Oryctolagus cuniculus: one gene and its partners. Each later gene encodes a partner of the first gene's protein in a complex. Links are inferred from orthologs where the notes say so. Each region holds a gene or a part of one and is shown on either strand. Other genes may lie near its edges.

Region 1 (3,513 bases):
CCCGAGCCAGCCCTGTGTGAGACGAGCAGGCGCAGGCGCTGTGGACGGACGGACGGACGGACGGGTGGACGGACGTGCAAGGACAAGGAAGGAAGACAAACCCCACCAAGGCAGGAGGAAGAGGAACAGGCACGAGGGTCCTTCAAGTCACATGCAGGCAAGCGGGTTGCTGAGGAGGCGAGCAGAGGCGGCTCTCAGCTGATGGGGTTAGACCACCTGCTCCTCAGGGTTAATAAGCGTATATGCAAATGACCTCTCCGCCCCCCCCCGGCCCCGCCCTGCCCCGCAACCCCCCAGACCCCAGCAGGCAGGGTTCCGCTTACTTTGTGTCAAGTTCTATGAGATTGGTATCTACCGGCGTCTCGTTCTCTGGAACTGAACACAGGGCAGGGGGCGCCCAGGGGTTAGTGCGTGGGGAGACATGGAGGTGAGTGGGCACAGCCCTCCACCCCGGGACTGCCAGGCTCAGTAGGGGAGGGTCAGGGAAGAAGGGGAACGTGGAAAAGGGGGCCTGCCAATCATCTAAGGCCATGGAAGGGCCCTGAGTGGCCACAGGAGCAGGGCAACCTCGGGGTACTGGCTCCAGCTCACTTCAGTGCACTGCCTAGCATGCGAACCTCCCACTAACTCTGACCTCGCTGAACTTGAGCTGTGTTTCAAAATGGAGTTAATATCAATGAACAATCGGGCGCCTCCAGGAATGGTATGCTGGGGGTGGGGGGGCTCTCGTCCACGCAGCCCTTCCCCCTAGTGCGCACAGGACCCAGCCCAGGCCTTGCTCCCCCACGGAGAAGACAGTGAGGGCCAGCTGTGTCCCACTGGGGCCCACGGCAGACGGGAGTTGTGGGACCCACGGGAGATCCTGGGGAGCTGGGGAGAGGGTGCACCAGGCTGAGGCTGACCTGGAGGGAGAGGTGCGGCAGGCAGGGGAGGAGGGAGTGGGCCCCCTGAAACCCTCACGGCAAGGACCCTCCCAGTCCTGCTCACCTTCCCGATGTGGGGGCTCCTCTTTGGGCTTGGGGTGCATCAGGGTGAAGGGCAGCTCCACGGCCACGTCACTGAAACAGAGAGCCAGGCCTGCTGAGCCCAGGCCTCAGCGGGAGGGCTGCGGAGGGCTCTCTGGCCCTCACTCTGCACTCTCCAAGATGGAGATCTTTCTAGGGGAGGAATGTAGGAGACCTCCTCCCCTGTCCCTGATGGAAACAGAACTTCCCCTTCCTGGATCAGGGCCCCCGGACACGGGGGCACGACTGCCCAGGCCAGTGCACACCATGGCCACTGGGGGCCCTGCAGGTGCCCTGAGCCCCGCCCATCTCAGACGGCCACAGCCACCTCGGCCCTTCCCAACTCCTGGCTGGGAGTGTGCCCACCCCTCCCAGCACCTAAAACAGTGCCCAGCTGACCCTGGATACCTGCCACCTGCAGGAGGCACGGCTAGAGGTACATTTTACCAGTGTCGGGTCAGCTGGGACCCAGGGCCCAAGGCTGTCCACACAGGTTTGTGGTGAATGGGAGGCATCAGCCACCGGCCAGGGCTTTGGACTTGACCTTCTCTGCCGGGTCCCTGCGGGGCAGGACAGGGAGGGCAGAGATTTCCACGGCACTGACTCGGCCAAGGACTCTCCTGGGCACTTTCCATAAAGCAACTCGTTGAATCCTCACAACAACTGTATCATTGCCCCCAATGTATGGGTGGAGAAACTGAGGCACAAGGAGATGAAAGCATCCTGCCCAAGGCTACACAGCTATTCATGGGGAGTGACAGAGGATTCTGGCTCCAGGGCCACACCCTTCAGCACTGTGTGACAGCAGCGGCCTGAAGCCATCTTGGAGCAACACCCTTCACCCTGGGATCTCCATCCCGACCCTGACCCATGGGCACCTCCAGGGTCCGGCTGGGGAGTGGAGCAGTCAGGGGCGTAGGCTGAGCTGAGAGTGGATCCCGCCAGCCCCGCCACTCACTGGCACAGCACTGGGGTCCGGAAACCTCTGCTGAACTCAACCGAACAGAGCTGAATGACTTTCCTCTCACACTGGACTAAGTATTCTTGGGATGCTTGGCCAGGGATGCTTGGCCAGGGAGAAGCCAGGGCGTGCATCTTAGGAGGGTGGGTCTATCCGGCTGGCACCCAGGCCATCTCATGCACAAATGTGGCTCCCCGAAGGGCCTCTCCTTGGCTCACCAGCGGGCAAGTCGGGAAGTCACAAAGCCTGCACTTCTAAATACCCTGTAATCCAGTAGCTCGGGAATTCAGTGATTTGCTGCTGGCGAGAGCTGAGGACTAGCAGGGCGCAGCTTCCTGAGTAGATACTGTGTCTTTCTCGAGAGCATTCTGGCATCAGCACGCACCTGACCTTGGCCATCTGAAACGGCCACTAAGGGTCCTTCCAACCCAGCGCCCCATGCCCCTGCTCCATGGGGTATCTGGGCCCTGCAGGAAGGTAATCAACCAGGCCAAAGCGAGGGACATTACCTGGACGCAAGATCTCCCAGCAGGCTGGGTGGGTCAGAGGAGGCAGGAGGAGTGGTCAGGAGAGTTGAGAGAGGAAAAAACAGAAAGCACATTCATTCACCACCTCTGCTGCCCCTCAGACAGAGCAGACCCTGGGACATACACGCCCCCCTCCCCTGGGGGCGCACTGCCAAGCTCAGCAGGCCCTTTCCTTCGGAAAGCAGGTGCACACGTGAGCTCCGGGGCCGCCACGGTGGCACAGGGCGCCAAGCCGCTGCCTGCGATGCGACATCCCACACCGGAGGCACAGGTCTGAGTCCCGCCCAGCTCCGTGCTAACACGCCTGGGAGGCAGCAGGTGATGGCCCAAGTAATGTGGGAGACCGGATAGAGTTCCAGGCTCCTGGCTTCAGCCTGGCCCAGAGCTGGCTGTTGATGCCATTTGGAGAGTGAACAGGGGGTGGAAGATCTCCTCCCTCCCCCTGCAAAAAAAAAAAAAACCCACTCCAGTGCTGCCTGCCCTGCCTGTGGTTCACCAGGAGCACTGCACAGGAGACGCCATGTCTAATGGATTTAGCTTTTCTTTTCTCTTTTAAGCTTTTATTCATTTATCCGGGAGGCAGAGACACAGAGAAAACTCCCATCCGCTGGTTCGCTCCCCACTGAACTGCAACAGCGAGGGCAGCCGAAGCCAGGAGCCAGGAACCCAATCCAGGCTGCCTGTGTGAGTGGCAGGAAGCCAGCTCTCTGAGCCACACCGCCGCCTCCCAGGGTCCCCATCAGCAGGAAACCAGCGCCAGGCCTCAAACGCAGGTGCTGTGGCACGGGCATCCTCAACCCGCTGCACACCTGCCCCTACACGGCTGTTCAACCTCGCTACAGACACTCCTAAACTAAGTCAGAACAAGTTCTCTGACCCGTGAGAAATCCCGGTTCCGGTGTATAACACGTCCGTCCAGGACGTGGGGAGAGGGGAGGGCTGCTCTGAGTCCCCACTGACGAACTCTGCTCGGGGCAAGGAAGCACCTGGTCCCCGGCTGTGACCCCGACACCCAGGCCGC
Region 2 (4,142 bases), on another chromosome or scaffold:
ACGGCTCCTGCTTCCCACAGGGGAAGGCATGCGGCAGCCGTCGCCCGAGCCAACTGCACTCAGCCCTGGCGAGGACCCCGGGGCAGGAGCCGTCCGGGGGGACATGCCGGGCCCTCCAGCTGCTCGCCGGCTCCACCTGCACGGATCGGGGCTCACCCTGCCTGCAGTGAGGGGCCACACCCAGCGGGGGCGCCTCTCAGAACAAAAGGGAGAGGCAGGGCGGCCGGGCCGCTCAGGGCCGGAACAGCAAAGACCGCTGGCGGCTGGTGGCAGACTCGGGCGGGGACGCCCAGCCTAGCACCCCTGCTCTCCGGGAACCTCCCCGCGTGCAAATGGCCCCGCCGGCCTTGGGGCAGTGAGCTGGAGGCCCCAGGCTGCCCGGGGGCTGACAACGGCACCCAGGGCACGGGTAGGGGTAGTGGGTAGTCGAGGTCCAGCTGTGGCCTTGGGAGCACAGACACCTTGGCGTGGTTGAAGGAAAGGGTGAGGTGTGGACAGAAGACCCCGTCACTCACGTGTACACGTGGGCACATGCGTGGACAGTCCTCCAGGCCTCCAAGCCTGGCTCCTGCTCAGGCACTCAGTGACCAGGTAAACGGGGCCCATACAGGGTCAGTGAGCGTCCAAGGGCTGGGCTGGAGCCTGGGCGGCACCCGCCGAGCCCCTGAGGGCAGAGCTGGTGGCCGTGCCGGGCCAGCCCCCGCCTCAGTCGGACGTGAGCCAGACGCTCCCCCACCCGGGCCTCTGCTCTCTGCCACCTGCTGCACTCCTTCAGGCCACTGACCACCCGGGCCCTAAGCCACACAGCGCCCGGGACACCTGAGCTCTGCAGGGGCTCATGCAGGCAGCGCCCCCTGTGGGCCGGCCGAAGGAAAGACGGGACATCCCGCCGGAAGCCATGGGCACCCCACGTGTCCTCCGCCACCCAGTTCCTAGTGGCACCGGGGCCAGAGCTGGGCCTCTGAGAGGCTGCCTGCCCTCTGAACTGCCCAGCCCCACACGGGGCCACACACTGAGACCTGCCGCGCTGTACGGAGGCCAGTGAGCCCCCACCTCCAGGCTGCAAGACCCCACCCCCCCACACACATCCAGGTGCCTTACCATCGTCCCAACAGGGACATCACCGCTGCCGTCGGCAGCGACGGCAGCACCAGCAGGTGTTTCTGTGTGCCAGGCACCTGCAGACACGTCCCACGAGTTCTCGTGAGCACTACCACCTAGGGTGAATGCTGCCATCATCCCATTTTACAGATAGGAAAACTGAGGCTGGAGTAAGACCCAACCCAAGAAGATGTCAGGCTCAGCTCTGACTCAAGTCTGGGCTGGGCAGGGCAGCCAGGGGACGCGGAGGAAGCCGGCCTGGGGGTGCCGCTGCTGGGGGGGGGCTGCAGAGCCCCTGCCAGGGCACAAGGCCTTTGAGAAGCTGCTGGACGAGACCACGGCCTTATATGGCCCCAGGGACTGCTTCAGGGCCACCCGAGGCCCACCCATGAGTCCAGGGCGGACACTGACCAAGTCCAGCCACCCTCGGTAGAGCTGATGGGGTGGGGATGGGGAGCGGGGCCGAGGCCCGGCTGCTCCGCGGGGCGAGGTGGGGAGAGGGCTCGGGCTGCTCCCCAGGCGGCCCGTCCTCGCCAGCCTCCAGGGAGTGGACTTCCGCAGCCCCCTCGCGGCTGGAAGACCCCTGGGGGCAGAGTCCAGGCTTCCCCCGGAGAGACCCCCGCCTGGAGCCCCCCCCCCCCCGCACAGGCTGCTCACCTGGATGACGACCTTGACGGTGGCGGTGTCCACGATGGGGGTGCACACCAGGCTGCCGGGGTGCTGGTGGTCAGCGCCCCGGTTCTGCTGGCCCATGGTGAACAGCATGGGCACGGCCAGCAGCGCCGAGGCCAGCCAGATGGCGCTGATGAACTTCTTGGTGCGGCTGCGGGACATGAGGGTCTTGGCCTTGAAGGGGTGGCACATGGCCAGGTAGCGCTCGACGCTGAGGCTGGCCACGTTGAGGGCCGTGGCGTAGGTGCAGGCATCGCGCAGGAAGTAGTAGCCCCGGCAGCCGGCGTCGCCGAAGGCCCAGGGGTGGTGCACCCAGATGAAGTTGTACAGCTCCACGGGCATGGCCAGCAGCAGGATGAGCAGGTCGGACAGCGCCAGGCTGCCCAGGTGGTAGTGCACGGTGCTCTGCAGGCTCTGCAGCGGCTTCCGGCGCGCCAGCGTGAACGCCGTCACGGCGTTGCCCACCGTGCCCACCGCGAACAGCGCCAGGTACACGACCGTCACCAGCACCTTGGAGTAGATGTCGGTGTTCACGTCCAGGGGGCTGCCCGGCGCCGCCAGCGCGAGCTCCGACGCGTTGGCCGAGCGGTTGCCCGAGCCCGGGGCCAGGAGCGCGGCGTCCAGCCCCACCTGCGGACGCGGGAAGAGGTCGGCGCCCGCAGCGCTCGGCGCGGAGCTGTTGAGACGCATGGTGCGCGCCGGGTCCGCGGCTCTGTCCCGCGCCCCTGGGCTGGAAGTCCAGGCGGGGAGGGATGAGAAGGAGCCCTGGCGGGGGGCGCGGGAGGCCGGCTAGCGGGGTGCCGTCTGGCCAGGAAGCGCCGCCCCGAGGAACTCGGCTCACGCCCACCCGGGCTCCGGGCTGCGCCCCCGGCTCTAGACCCCACGATTCTCCACGCTCCCTCTGGGCTCTGCGCTGGTCCTGGGCTCGGGCTTCGCGGACAAGCAGGTGGCGCCGAGCAGAGCGCACGCACGGCTGCCCGGCGCGCTCGCCTCTCCCGCTCCCGCTCTCCTCCCTCGCGCCCCGCCGCGCCCGCGCCCTCTCGGCTCTGCGCGCTTCCACCGAGCCGGCGCCGCGCGGCCGCGCCTAGCAGCGTGGGCGGGGGCGAGAGGCGGCCCCAGCCGCGGTCCCCGCCCCGCCCCAGCGCAGGCTGGTGGTCGCCGCCTCCCCCACCCCGCCCCCCGCCGCGCACTCTTAGAGGCCGTCAGGGCCCTCGAGAGCGACCCCGGGAACCCAGGTCAGGCGTGGGGGCTGCAGCTGGGCCTTGGGGCGCTGAGTCTGCCCAGCGCCCTCCCCCTGGGTGCACAGCCTCCCTTCCCGGGTCTCTCCAACTTCTAGCACTGGAAAGGGAGCTGTGCCCTCCTGTCTCCAGCTCAGCGAGGGCGGAGGAAGGAGACGGCTTCCCGCTGGCGCGCATGGGGCGCTACGCAGCTGGCGGCCGCCCCTCTCCTGGTGCCCACGGTGGAGGAGGGGCAGAAGCTGAGCGCCTAGGGGGCTCCAGTGCCACTAAGCCGGGGTGGGGTGGGGGAGGGGAAGCAGAAGCAAGCAGGCGTGGGGATGGGGCACCCTCAGGGCCGGGTCCCGCGGGGTTGGCAGGGGCAGCCTGACTTGGAGGTGGTGCTGGCTCTGCCGCGGCCCTCGGGCTCCGTGTCCTGCCAGCCGCTGGCCCGAGGGGGCCGGGTGTGCGCCTGCTCCCCGGCCGTGAGCTGCGCAGAGGCACAGCCGCCCTCCCCACAGCGGACCCTGGGAGACGCCCGCTGCAGGGGTGAGGGCAGGAGGAAGCGCCCAGGGGTCACAGCCCCAGACGCTGCACCGGCTGTGCTGGGGTCAGTCTGGCTGCAGGGGAGGGGGCCAGGGGCTGACAGCCATCTTGTTGTCTTCCGCCTGCCTTGGGCTTGCCTTTCACCTGGACCCCGGCGGCCTCATCAGGGAGTCTTAGCACACAGCAACGAATGCTTGAAAACGTAGCCTTCAAAGGAAGCACAAACGGCCCTTTTGCTAAACGCCGGCGCAGACTCCAGAGGCTGGCAGAGGTGGTTTGCATCTTGGCCCTGCGGCCCTGGCCTGGGGAGTGTTTGAGCTTCTCTGTGCCCCGTCGTCAGCTGTGGGGTGGGAGAAGCCGAGAGCGGTGCTCCCCCGGCAGGGCTGCTCTCCGGGGGCCTCGGGGAGTGGGCAGCACTGAAGGGGCCGAGCTCAGCCTTGGGAGGGAGGGCGCGCCTCGAGTCCCACAAGCTGCCCCCAGGTCCCCGCCAGGGTACCCTGGACTCGCTGTCCGGGAGACACAGGAAGTGAGCAGGCCTGGGACTGGGCCCCGCGTGTCCTTGACCCGGGACGTGGTGGTGCTGAACGGAGCCCACTACCACTGCTCACT
Region 3 (3,513 bases), on another chromosome or scaffold:
CGGCAGCAGGAAGCTGGAATCTGGAGTAGAGCTGAAGCTCAAACCCAGGGCACTCTGATATGGGATGTTAGTGTCCTAGGTTAGATGATGAAAGCAAGCAATTGAAGAATCTGAAACAGTGAAATAACAATGAAATCTCATTTTGCTTTTACAGTAATAGAGATAGCTTTGCTGAAGCTCCTGATTAGTCTTAAAGATAATGTAGTAAGTTGGCTTGGTGGTATGCTCAAGAATTAGTGGAAGGGCAGGCTCTGTGGTATAGCCGTAAGAATGCTGCCCCCAGTGCTGGCATCCCATATGGGTGCTGGTTTGAGTCCTGGCTGCTCCACTTCCAATCCTGCTCCCTGCTATGGCCTAGGAAAGCAGTAGAAGATGACCCAAGTCCTTCAGCCCCTGCACCTGCATGGGAGACCCAGAGGAGGCTCCTGGCTCCTGGCTTCAGATTGGCCTAGCTCTGACCATTGTGGCCATTTGGGGAGTAAACCAGTGGATAGAAGACCCATCTCTTTCTATCTCTCTTTCTCTCTCTCTGCCTCTGTCTCTTTGTAACTCTGCCTTTCAAAATAATTAATAAATCTTTTAAAAAAAGAATTAGTAAAAATATTTTGGCAAAGTAATGGTGTATTAAGCATTGTATATATTTCTAAAAATTTTAGAAATGGTGTTTTTGAAGAAGAGACCATATATTTTTGCCATTCTCCCAGAAAAGAGAAGGATTTTTTTTTTTTTTTTTTTTAAGATTTTGTTTATTTGAAAGGTAGAATAATAGACAGAGGGAAAGACAGAGAGAAAGGTCCTCCATCCGCTGGCTCATCCCCAAATGGCTGTAGCAACCGGCGCTGGGATCATCTAAAGACAGGAGCTAGGAGCCTACTCCAGGTCTTCCACGCCAGCACAGGGACCCAAGCACCTAGGCCATCCTCCACTGCCTTCCCAGGCCACAGCAGAGAGCCAGATTGAAAGAGGAGCAGCCAACACATGAACTGGCACCCATGTGGGATGTTGGCACTGCAGGCAGAGGCCCAGTCCACTGAGCCACAGCACTGGCCCCCTGAGGATTGGGTTTTTCAATTTCTTAATTAAGTATGATGCTGTATTAGTTACATAGTATGAAATAAGAAGACAAATGCATTTTGTTTTTGTTATTAAGGGGTCATGACAGTTCTAAGAAAGCAATCAGGAGTCTGGTTTAATCAGTGGAAGTAGGGCAGACAAGTGTACTATTCAGTTGTTTGCTTCTAATTTATTATATGTATCATTCTGATGTTTACAATCATGTTAGCCAGATAGATGGTTTTAACATGTCTATAAAAATAATAATAAATTTTTGAGTTATTTCTTCCTTTGGAGAAATATTTTTGTTTGTGCTTCGAGAAGAAAGAACATAACCATACCTGTTATAAAAAGGAGAGATAAGGGGCATTGTGGCATAGGAGGTTTAGGCAATGCTAGCATCCCCTGTGGGTGTCAATTCATGTACTGGCTGCTCAATTTCTGATCCAGCTCCCTGCTAACTGCTTGGAAAAGTAGCAAAAGATTGCCGAAGTGGTTGGGCCCCTGTACCCCTGTGGGAGACCTGGAAGAAGCTCCTGGGCTTCATCCTGGTCCAGATCTGGCTGTTGTGGCCAATTGGAAGATCTGTCTCTCCCTCTCTCTCTGCAACTCTGCCTTTCAAATAAATAATTTTTTAAAGGAGAGGTAAGTGGATTAAGGGACAAAATTATCTGAAAATTGTTGTTTTCTAACTCCATTTTTCTAAAAGTAAAGATTTCTCTTCCTCTCTAGAATGAAGTCAAATGGAATAATAGGAAAATTCTCGATCTAGTTGTAAGAAAGATTACTAGAATACCAAGTAGTTGTAGTATCTTAACAACCACAGGTTTATTTTCCCTTGAGAAATAATACCTGATGAGTTTTAATAAAAGTTTATGAGTTAAGTCTTAAAGCATAATTGAACAGCTGGCATTGTGGTATAACAGGTTAAGCCACTGCCTGCTATACTGACATCCCATTTGGGTGCCAGTTTGAGTACCGGCTGCTCCACTTCTGATCCAACTCCCTGCTAATATGCCTGGGGAAGCAGCAGAAGATGTCTCAAGTGCTTGGGTCCCCACACTCATGTGGGAGACCTGGATGAAGCTCCTCACTCCTGGTTTCAGCCTGGCCCAACCCTGGCTGTTAGAGCCATTTGGGGAGCAAACCAGCAGAAAATCAATCAATCAATCTCTCTCTCTCTCTCTCTCTCTCTCTCTATCTGTAATTCTGCCTTTCAAATATAATAAAATAAATCTTTTAAAAAAATTGAAAGCTAATTATAATCTTCTGACTTAATACTTATATATTTTCTTAACTATAAAAGCTTTTCTAGTTTGGTGGCTTGTTTTAGGATCCCTTGTTCATGGTTTGCTTTTAACTTTAACTCTGAAATGTGTTCTTTGTTTTGTCCTCAGTAACCATAGTCTCTTGTTGCTTCAGGTATGAAAGTATCATCGCCACTCTGTGTGAGAACTTAGACTCCCTGGATGAACCAGATGCTCGAGCGGCTATGATCTGGATTGTAGGAGAATATGCTGAGAGAATTGACAATGCAGATGAGTTACTGGAGAGCTTCCTGGAGGGTTTTCATGATGAGAGCACCCAGGTAAACTTTCAGCCATCCTGTGTCCTGTGTCTGTGGGAAGACTTCAGAAAAAGTAAAGATTTGAGTGTGTATGTATTTATGTATATGCTCAGGTTGAGCATCCTGTACCCCAAATGCTTAGAACCAAGAAATATTTCATATTTTGAGTTTTTTCAAACTTTGAAGTATTTCCATGTACATAATGAGATAAATATCTTGGGGATGAAATCCAAGTCTAAACAGAAAATTCATTTATGTCTCATATACCTTATACACATAGCCTAAAGGTATTTTTATAGAATGTTTTTAGCATGCATGCATTTTGACTGCAACCCATCACTTTTTTTTTTGACAGGCAGAGTGGACAGTAGAGAGAGAGACAGAGAGAAAGGTCTTCCTTTTGCTGTTGGTTCACCCTCCAATGGCCGCCGCGGCCGGCACGCTGCGGCCAGCACACCACGCTGATCCGAAGGCAGGAGCCAGGTGCTCCTCCTGGTCTCCCATGGGGTGCAGGGCCCAAGCACTTGGGCCATCCTCCACTGCCTTCCCAGAGAGCTGGCCTGGAAGAGGGGCAACCGGGACAGAATCTGGCGCCCCGACCAAGACTAGAACCTGGTGTGCCGGCGCCGCTAGGTGGAGGATTAGCCTATTGAGCCGCGGCGCCGGCCCTGCAACCCATCACTTTAAGTTGGGTGTGGAATTTTCCACTTGTGTTGTCATGTCTGTGCTTTAAAAGTTTTGGATTTTGGAGCATTTCAGATTTTTGATTTTCAGATTAGGGTTTCTCCACCTGTAGCATGTTGATTTTTCATCCAAAAGGGATGACCCTTTTCATTTGTATACTGATTTCTAGTGTAATAAATTTAGACCAGTGGTTCTGAAACTTTAATGAG
Region 4 (3,513 bases), on another chromosome or scaffold:
TAAATCCAACGCCAGAAGAGCTCACCGCTTAGAAATAATTTTCACAAAGCACAGTTCTGAAAAATCGTACAAAATGAGTATTCAAACTGGGTTAGCTTCAAACAAGACTCCTATTGGCGAATGCTGGAACTAGCTGGTAGGAATTCACAAAACACCAGGGAAATCTTTTTAATGGACACAATTTAAATTCTCAGAAGGCCTTGCTCTTTCATCCTGTAAGGACTAGAGGTATTAGGGAATTGGCTACCGCTTTCCCTTTAGAGAATAATCTTGGAGTAAATCCATTTGATATAAGCAGCTGGCTGGAAGAGAATTTTTTCAACCCAACTAAGCTGATTGTTTAGTGTTTGCTAAGTGTAGACCCTTGTGTCTAGTCCATTGCCTGAATATTCAAGTTCGAAAAACAGAGATACTATTTCAGAAAAAATAAAACAAACCTGCTTGCAATAGCTAACTAGGAAGAAAATCCTTAATACTTTTCAGTCTTAAAGCAGTAACATGGAATGCATACTGATAATCTTTGCTCTATTTCCAAGTTAAAACAGAGACATAAATGTAGTCAGTCACATACAGGTTACTGTAAATCCAAACCAGCATCCCATAATCTATATTCTGTTCTATTCTGTGTGTGTTCCTCTTAGCCAAGTTTTAGATTCTTATAATTTGTTCTTAGTTTCATTTCTGATGTACTAGTTTGCTAATTTGCTTCTTAGTATCCTCTCATAATAATGCATTTTCTTGTCTAATCCTCATTACCAAGCATATGCACCTTGTGGCTGGTCTAAATACCCTCTCTTTTCCGTGGCTTAAACCTGCTTTTTGCCATCCTGCTCATTTCAGAAATGCAGAAGAACTGGTAATACCTGACAAATTGAGAAAGTTAAAATTGTACCCTGTAGTCGGGGCTGTGTAGACAAACTGAGCTGTGGAATTGAAGCCAGGAATTGCAAAGGACAGACACAAAGAAGAGGCTTTTGTTTATTTATCTGGATCGCAGCATTATTTCCTCACTTTTCCTTGCCTTTTAAAACTCAAGCAGTCAGACATGGGCAAAGGTTTTGGTTGTATAAACACCTCGTAGGGGCTCTCTGGAACTGTTTGGCTGTTGATGAGTGGATGTGTTTGGATATCTGCATGCTAAGGAGTGAGGAATGAATCAGAATAACAAAGTTAATTAATGCATGTGGTGAATAAAGATAAATGATAACTCCAAGGGTGGTCTGACAGGGGAGGGGAGGGTACAGGCTGAAGTGTTTTATTCATCTTGCAGAATTAATTGCACTATAGATGCTATTTATGGATGCCTGAGAGTTCATTTATTTTTAGAGTAAAGATAGCCTTTTTTAATGGACTCTAGAGTCCATTCTTATTTTCTGGAGATGTCAGCAGGGAACTGATCTGGGATTCTGAGAGGAATGCTAAGAAACTGCTCTTTTCATTTTTTTTTACATGAAGCACACCTTTAGGAATATGAGCAGAAAAAGAGTTTAATCTTTACCATTTTCAGTCATCATTCTAATGGAAAAGGTGGTACCCATCAGATAAATAGGAGGGAACATAATTGATTTCTACTACCTTTGGTCCTCTCTAGAGACAAAGAAGAAAAAAATGATAAACGAAAATGCATGCTGGTAGTTTCTGTGCTTATTTTCAGGGGGTGAGAATTCTGGAACAGGAGTCGATGGCCATGGGACCCTACCTCAGTACCACTGGTGATTCTGTGGAACAAGTGGTGCCCGTGGGATCACCTATAAGAGGAGGTGAGAACTGCCACGTAGGCTCACAAACTCTCAGGTCTTCCATGACAACTTGAAACAGACTCAGACTAGAATGAGGTCCCGGTGGCATGGAGCATGACCAGCAGTTTACACAAATGAAATAATTTTTATTGTAACATTCTCAGAATCTAAATCTTAATGTGCCCAATAGTGCTACTTACCACTTTATTTTGGAGGATTAATCCAGACTCTCCAGAACCAGGACCTTAATGAACTGATATCACATGTACCTTAGTAGACAATGCAAACCTGAAGATACTGTGTGTGTGTGTGTGTGTGTGTGTGTGTGTGTGTTAGAGATGCATTAAAATGAAGTACTGTATTTAGACAGAGTTTTAGACCACAATGAAGAGGCAGCAATAATCACTTTGAATACACCTGTGCATGTTCTCCACTGATCAAATCCGTCTCCAATTTGCTTATACTCAGGCTCACAGAAAAACATTTTCATTTTATAACATAATTGGAGAAAACCCACAGTTCTTAAAACTGCAGCGAAGTGTTTTATATAGCAGAAGACATAAGCTCCAGGGCCTGGAGGTCGCCATGGTGTAGGTTATTGTTTCCGTTTTGGCCTCTAATTAGGCTCAGAAAAAAAAAATTCTTTTTCTTTCACTCACTGTGAAAGTTATGAGATCCTTTTGCTCGAATAACCCACAAGAAAGGCCCGGAAGTTCACGCTTCTTGCAGAATGGTCAGTTCCCGCTGAAGATGATTAAATGCCCACATCATTTACATCCCACTGTGTGGCTGACAACAGGAAGAAGAGCGAATGTGGCATGCTCCCCACCTAGCAGCCACCACGGTGGAGCCATTAGCTCAGCCTGGGGGGCCCTTTCCGTGTCCTGTAGTGCAAAAGCCGTGATGGTTTGAAAACAAAACAAAACAAAAAGAGCAAGACCATCAGGGAAACCTCCTAGTGCGTCTGGGAAATTCTGCTCGACAGCCTGACCCCTGTGTCTGGGTCCACCTGTCACACCACCCACGCGCGGAAGCCCCGGCCTTACCTGTGAAGTTGATTTTCAGGAGGTAATCCTTGTACAGCTTCTTGCCGTCCAGGATCTTCATGGCGTCGCACAGCTTGGTGGTGTTGGGACACAGCGTGCGCTGCATCTTGTGCAGCGCGTGGGCCATGGCGTACACCGCGTTCACCACGAACATGATCTTGGATTCCTGCTCGTAGTTGCTGCTGTCGATGGCCAGGTGCTTGTCGCAGGTGCGCCTGTGGCTGCGCTTGCTCTGCAGGCTGCACTGGAACTTCTGCTCCCAGAAGTCCCGGAACCAGGGGTTGCGGTGGTTGTTGTAGGGCGTGAGGCTCTGGAAGTAGCGGTCGAACTGGCGCACGGGCTGCGAGGCCAGCTCCAGCGTGATGGCGCCGTCGGCCACGTGCTCGCTGCCCTTGACGATGCTCTCCTGCGCGCCCCAGCCGTCGCTGGCCACCCAGGTGAAGGAGGCGTTGGCGCGGCTGGCGGCGGCGATGAGCTCGCGCGAGTCGTCGCTGCGCATGAAGAGCACCACGACGCGCGCGCTGGGCTTCAGCAGCAGCTCGCGGACCACGCTGTCGTAGGACTTGCGGATGTTGGAGCGCCCCACCTTCTCCGCCGTGGCGATGCAGATGTTGCGCACGCGCGCCTCCTGCTCGAACGCCTCGATGCCCGTCTCGCCGTAGTCACCCTCCGAGGCCACGGTGGACACGTAGGTCCAGTTGAAGAAGCGCAGGATCTCGGCCATGGCC
Region 5 (3,513 bases), on another chromosome or scaffold:
GGCACTTCGAGAGTGAAGAAGCAGATGGGTTGCCTCTCTTTCTCTCAAATAAAAAAGATCATAAAGAAAACATTTTGGGGGTCAGTGCTGTGGCATAGCAGGTAAAGCCACCACCTGCAGTGCCAGCATGCCATATGGGCACCAGCTCAAGTCCTGGCTGTTCCGCTTCCAATCCAACTCCCTGCTAACATGCCTGGGAAAGCAGTGGAGGACGGCCCAACTCCGTGGGCTCCTGCACCCACGTAGGAGACCTGGAAGAAGTTCCTGGTTCCTGGCTTTGTCCTGGCCCAGCCCTGGGCCGCTGCAGCCATTTGGGGAGTGAATCAGTGGAAAGAAGATCAATATTCCTCTTTCCCTCTGCCTCTCCTTCTCTGTAACTCGTTCAAATAAATAAATAAATCTTTAAAAAAAAAAAAATTTGTTTTTTTTTTTCCAATCAATTATTCCAGAAGGCAAAAAGCAAAAACAAATTGGAACTTTACATACAGTCTCTGGAATCATGTATGTATATATACATTATATATATATATATATCACTTTATATATATATATATAGAGAGAGAGAGAGAGAGAGGGAGAAAGAGAGGGAGGGGGAGGGGGGACGGAGAGTGTGTTATCTACATATATATGGCAGGGGGAGGGTGGTGACTGGAGTGTTATATTAGTTTCCCTGGTCTTTTACAGACAGTTGCCAAGTTTAAAGCTTTATTTTCTTCACATAGTAACTGGTAAGTATGAACATAAAGCTAAAAGTTAAACATTAAACAAAATTAACTTCCCACAGGTATATTTTAGAGTTAACAATCATTAAACCATCGCTCTGCACTCACCCAACACAGGCAGTGCTTAATTCTCTGTAACAATTCATGATTCACAAAGTTGAGCTTATCTGGTTTCACCTTTACTTTATAAATTATATAGGATTAATACTTTAGCTTCTACAGTTAGGTAGATTTGATGACAGAGATAAACCCATATCCTTTAGCCAACAGACCCCTATGCCTACAAGAAAAGATCCTCAAAATGATAGAGGATCACTTAATATTCAAAAGAAAGCCTAAATGATATTCTAAAATGACAACAAAGATAAATAACTTTGGAAAGTTTCTTTGAACTGGTGCTATATTTTTCTTCTTTTAACCAGATGGTCATTTGTAAGTATTACTTACCAATTTCCTTCTCTATTTCAAAGGAAACCACAGAGTATTAAGTTTAGAAGAAATAATCCCACACACAATTTGAGCAGGCTAAAAAATCTCATGGAGAAAAAGTATATTTTAAAACTGTAACTGAACTCCTACAGAACTGCTGCTCTTCAATCCAACCAGAAAATGCATTACTCAAAAACAGTTACTTACCTTGAGAAAATTTTTGACTCGCTCAGGATCATAGCAGTTGCTTTCTCTGCAGATTCTTTCTACTTCTTTGATTTGCCCAGTCTTGCAAGCTGCCTGAATATACTTAAAGTGTACATCTGGGTCCTGGCTAAAGTTAACAATGGATCCCAGAAAATAAAAGAGACCTTAAAGAAATAAATAATTGAAATTAAATATAGGTGTATTGTTGAAAACAGAACTGAAAAATATCCAAGCAATTAAAAACAAACTGTTTCACTTAACAGTCCCAGATACTGGTATGAATCAGTTGCTGAAAGTGTTCGATAAGGGAGCTGGCATTGTGGCATAGTGGGTTGGGCCACCACCTGTGATGCTTGCATGCCAAATGGGTGCTGGTTCAAGTCTCAGCTGCACTACTGCCCATCCAGTTCCCCAATGCTTCAGTGAGGCCCAGCCATGGTTGTTGCGGCCATTTGGGGAATGAACCAGCTAATTGAAAATCTCTCTCCCTGCCACTTCTCCCTCCTTCTCTCCCCCTAAATTCCTCTAACTGCCTTTCAAACAAACAGATAAATCTTTAACCCAAAAAAACTCAGGGGACGTTGTTGGGCATAGTAACCCAAGCCTCCGCCTGTGGTGCCAGCTTCCCATATGGGCGCTGGTTCAAGTCTCAGATGCTCCTCTCCCAATCCAGCTCTCTGCTTATGGCCTGGGAAAGCAGTGGAAGATGGCTCCAGTGCAGGCCCCTGCATCTGCGTGGGAGACCTAAAAGAAGCTCCTGGAGTCAGACTGGCTCAGCTCTGGCAACTGTGGCCACTTTGGAAGTGAAATAGCAGATGGAAGACCTTTCTCTCTGTCTCTCCCTCTGTCTGTAACTCTACCTCTTAAATAAATAAAGGATATGTTAAAAAAACAACAACAACTCAGGAATAATTAATCCAGTCCAATTAAGTGATTACTCCAATAAAGTACAGAATTTAGAAATAGGGGAAGTTAATTATTACATAATATTTTATATGAGAAATTTTAAATAAAGTCCCCTATTATCAGATACTTATCCATGTACAGTTAATAGGAAATATACAAAAATAATCTGGAAAGAATTTAATCAAGTGCTTTTCAATAAAGCTTTATGGGGTCAGCACTGCGGAATAATGAGTAAAGATGCTGCCTGCAGTGCCACCATCCCGTATGGGTGCCGGTTCAAGTTCCAGTGTTCTACCTCTGATCCAGCTCTCTGCTATGGTCTGGGAAAGCAGAAGAAGATGGCCCAAGTCTTTGGGCCTCTGCACCCTCTTGGGAGACCCGGAAGAAGCTTCTGGCTCCTGGCTTCATAGAGGTCTAGCTCCTGCCATTGCAGCCATTTGGGGAATAAACCAGCAGAAGGAAGTCCTTTCTCTCTCTGCCTCTGCACAACTCTGCTTTTCAAGTTATTAAAAAAAAATTAAAGCTTTCTGCATGATAAAAATGTTCTCTGTGGTGTCCAATATGGTAGCCACTAATACATGTGGTTTTTAGGCAATTCAAACATGGCAAGAGAGAGTGAAGAAATTTTAAACTTTATTTAATGTAATTAAATTACATTTAAATAGCTCCATGTGCCTAGTGGCTATCATACTACAGTGTAAATTTAGTGTGCAGTGCACATTCAGTAACTGTGAAAATTAAGAAAGTGAATATAGAATCCTTTCTTCTGTCTAGAGGAGTACTACTACTATTATAACAACAACAACAACAAAGAAAAGAAAAGAAAAGAAAAACCAGGGATCAGAATTTAGGTGAATCTAAGGAGTCACCCAATGGTGATTCCACTAGTACTCTGCACATCAGTGGTTATCAATTAAGGTAACTTTCCTCCCAGGTGACATTTAGAAATGTCTGGAGACATTTTTGGCTGTCACAGCTGGTTTAACTGATGCTACTGGTTAGAAGCCAATGAAGCTGCTAAATATCCTACTTGCACACAACAACCTGCATGCAACTATGATTCAGCTCCCAATGTCAACAGTACAAAGACTGAGAACCCCTACTATAAAGTGAAAAGTCACAAAATGTTCTTGGGTAGAATTATTTGTCATTATAAAAGCCTATATGAAACATTATAACTGGTCATTAGTCTCCAGATCTTATAAAACTATGATAAAACTATACATACTTTTCTCTTAAAACTCCGCCT

Evidence for each region.
Region 2: the proteins of ARRB1 (region 1) and NTSR1 are in contact, whole or in part, in a cryo-EM structure (PDB 6UP7), measured with the Homo sapiens proteins. The link is inferred for Oryctolagus cuniculus from reciprocal best matches to the Homo sapiens genes ARRB1 and NTSR1. Residues at the interface, in NP_004032.2 of Homo sapiens: Tyr63, Arg65, Asp67, Leu68, Val70, Leu71, Gly72, Leu73, Thr74, Phe75, Arg76, Lys77, Asn245, Thr246, Ala247, Gln248, Tyr249, Lys250, Lys284, Arg285, Gly286; in NP_002522.2 of Homo sapiens: Ser93, Leu94, Gln95, Ser96, Leu97, Gln98, Thr100, Val101, Arg166, Ile170, Pro173, Lys177, Phe286, Ser287, Met288, Ala289, Ile290, Ala297, Leu298, Gly301, Ser368, Asn370.
Region 3: the proteins of ARRB1 (region 1) and AP2B1 are in contact, whole or in part, in a crystal structure (PDB 2IV8), measured with the Homo sapiens proteins. The link is inferred for Oryctolagus cuniculus from reciprocal best matches to the Homo sapiens genes ARRB1 and AP2B1. Residues at the interface, in NP_004032.2 of Homo sapiens: Asp384, Asp385, Val387, Phe388, Glu389, Phe391, Ala392, Arg393, Arg395, Leu396; in NP_001273.1 of Homo sapiens: Arg834, Gln835, Phe837, Leu838, Trp841, Lys842, Asn846, Glu849, Ile876, Ala877, Arg879, Val881, Glu882, Gln884, Tyr888, Glu902, Arg904.
Region 4: the proteins of ARRB1 (region 1) and GRM3 are in contact, whole or in part, in a cryo-EM structure (PDB 9II2), measured with the Homo sapiens proteins. The link is inferred for Oryctolagus cuniculus from reciprocal best matches to the Homo sapiens genes ARRB1 and GRM3. Residues at the interface, in NP_004032.2 of Homo sapiens: Gly5, Thr6, Arg7, Val8, Phe9, Lys10, Lys11, Ala12, Ser13, Pro14, Tyr21, Arg25, Arg65, Glu66, Asp67, Leu71, Gly72, Leu73, Thr74, Phe75, Arg76, Lys77, Arg103, Leu104, Lys107, Pro133, Arg236, Phe244, Asn245, Thr246; in NP_000831.2 of Homo sapiens: Pro605, Lys608, Ala609, Ile669, Phe670, Asp671, Gly672, Val673, Lys674, Asn675, Ala677, Gln678, Arg679, Lys681, Phe682, Ser684, Cys761, Pro762, Glu763, Phe765, Val834, Val835, Thr836, His837, Gln855, Ser856, Ser857, Ala858, Ser859, Thr860.
Region 5: the proteins of ARRB1 (region 1) and CLTC are in contact, whole or in part, in a crystal structure (PDB 3GC3), measured with the Bos taurus proteins. The link is inferred for Oryctolagus cuniculus from reciprocal best matches to the Homo sapiens genes ARRB1 and CLTC. Residues at the interface, in NP_776668.1 of Bos taurus: His30, Ile31, Asp32, Leu33, Val34, Glu35, Pro36, Pro96, Thr98, Arg99, Tyr173, Pro175, Lys355, Thr374, Asn375, Leu376, Ile377, Glu378, Leu379, Asp380; in NP_776448.1 of Bos taurus: His12, Leu13, Gln14, Gln16, Asn17, Leu18, Gly19, Val50, Asn56, Asp57, Pro58, Ser59, Asn60, Ile62, Arg63, Arg64, Pro65, Ile66, Ser67, Ala68, Lys78, Ile80, Leu82, Lys83, Ala84, Thr87, Gln89, Phe91, Asn92, Ile93.

Annotation. Positions count from the first base shown.
Region 1 is NC_091432.1:66,411,134-66,414,646, forward strand, and holds part of ARRB1 (beta-arrestin-1), read right to left. Parts: intron 2,499-3,513; coding exon 2,475-2,498; intron 1,059-2,474; coding exon 988-1,058; intron 376-987; coding exon 324-375; intron 170-323; coding exon of another isoform or gene 148-169; exon of another isoform or gene 1-147. UniProt on the Homo sapiens protein: Functions in regulating agonist-mediated G-protein coupled receptor (GPCR) signaling by mediating both receptor desensitization and resensitization processes.
Region 2 is NC_091442.1:835,763-839,904, forward strand, and holds the start of NTSR1 (neurotensin receptor type 1), read right to left. Parts: upstream 2,806-4,142; 5' UTR 2,464-2,805; coding exon 1,759-2,463; intron 1-1,758. UniProt on the Homo sapiens protein: G-protein coupled receptor for the tridecapeptide neurotensin (NTS). Signaling is effected via G proteins that activate a phosphatidylinositol-calcium second messenger system.
Region 3 is NC_091448.1:38,975,173-38,978,685, reverse strand, and holds part of AP2B1 (AP-2 complex subunit beta), read left to right. Parts: intron 1-2,475; coding exon 2,476-2,641; intron 2,642-3,513. UniProt on the Homo sapiens protein: Component of the adaptor protein complex 2 (AP-2). Adaptor protein complexes function in protein transport via transport vesicles in different membrane traffic pathways.
Region 4 is NC_091447.1:48,455,530-48,459,042, forward strand, and holds part of GRM3 (metabotropic glutamate receptor 3), read right to left. Parts: coding exon 2,786-3,513; intron 1-2,785. UniProt on the Homo sapiens protein: G-protein coupled receptor for glutamate. Ligand binding causes a conformation change that triggers signaling via guanine nucleotide-binding proteins (G proteins) and modulates the activity of down-stream effectors.
Region 5 is NC_091448.1:34,959,963-34,963,475, reverse strand, and holds part of CLTC (clathrin heavy chain 1), read right to left. Parts: intron 1,523-3,513; coding exon 1,359-1,522; intron 1-1,358. UniProt on the Homo sapiens protein: Clathrin is the major protein of the polyhedral coat of coated pits and vesicles. Two different adapter protein complexes link the clathrin lattice either to the plasma membrane or to the trans-Golgi network.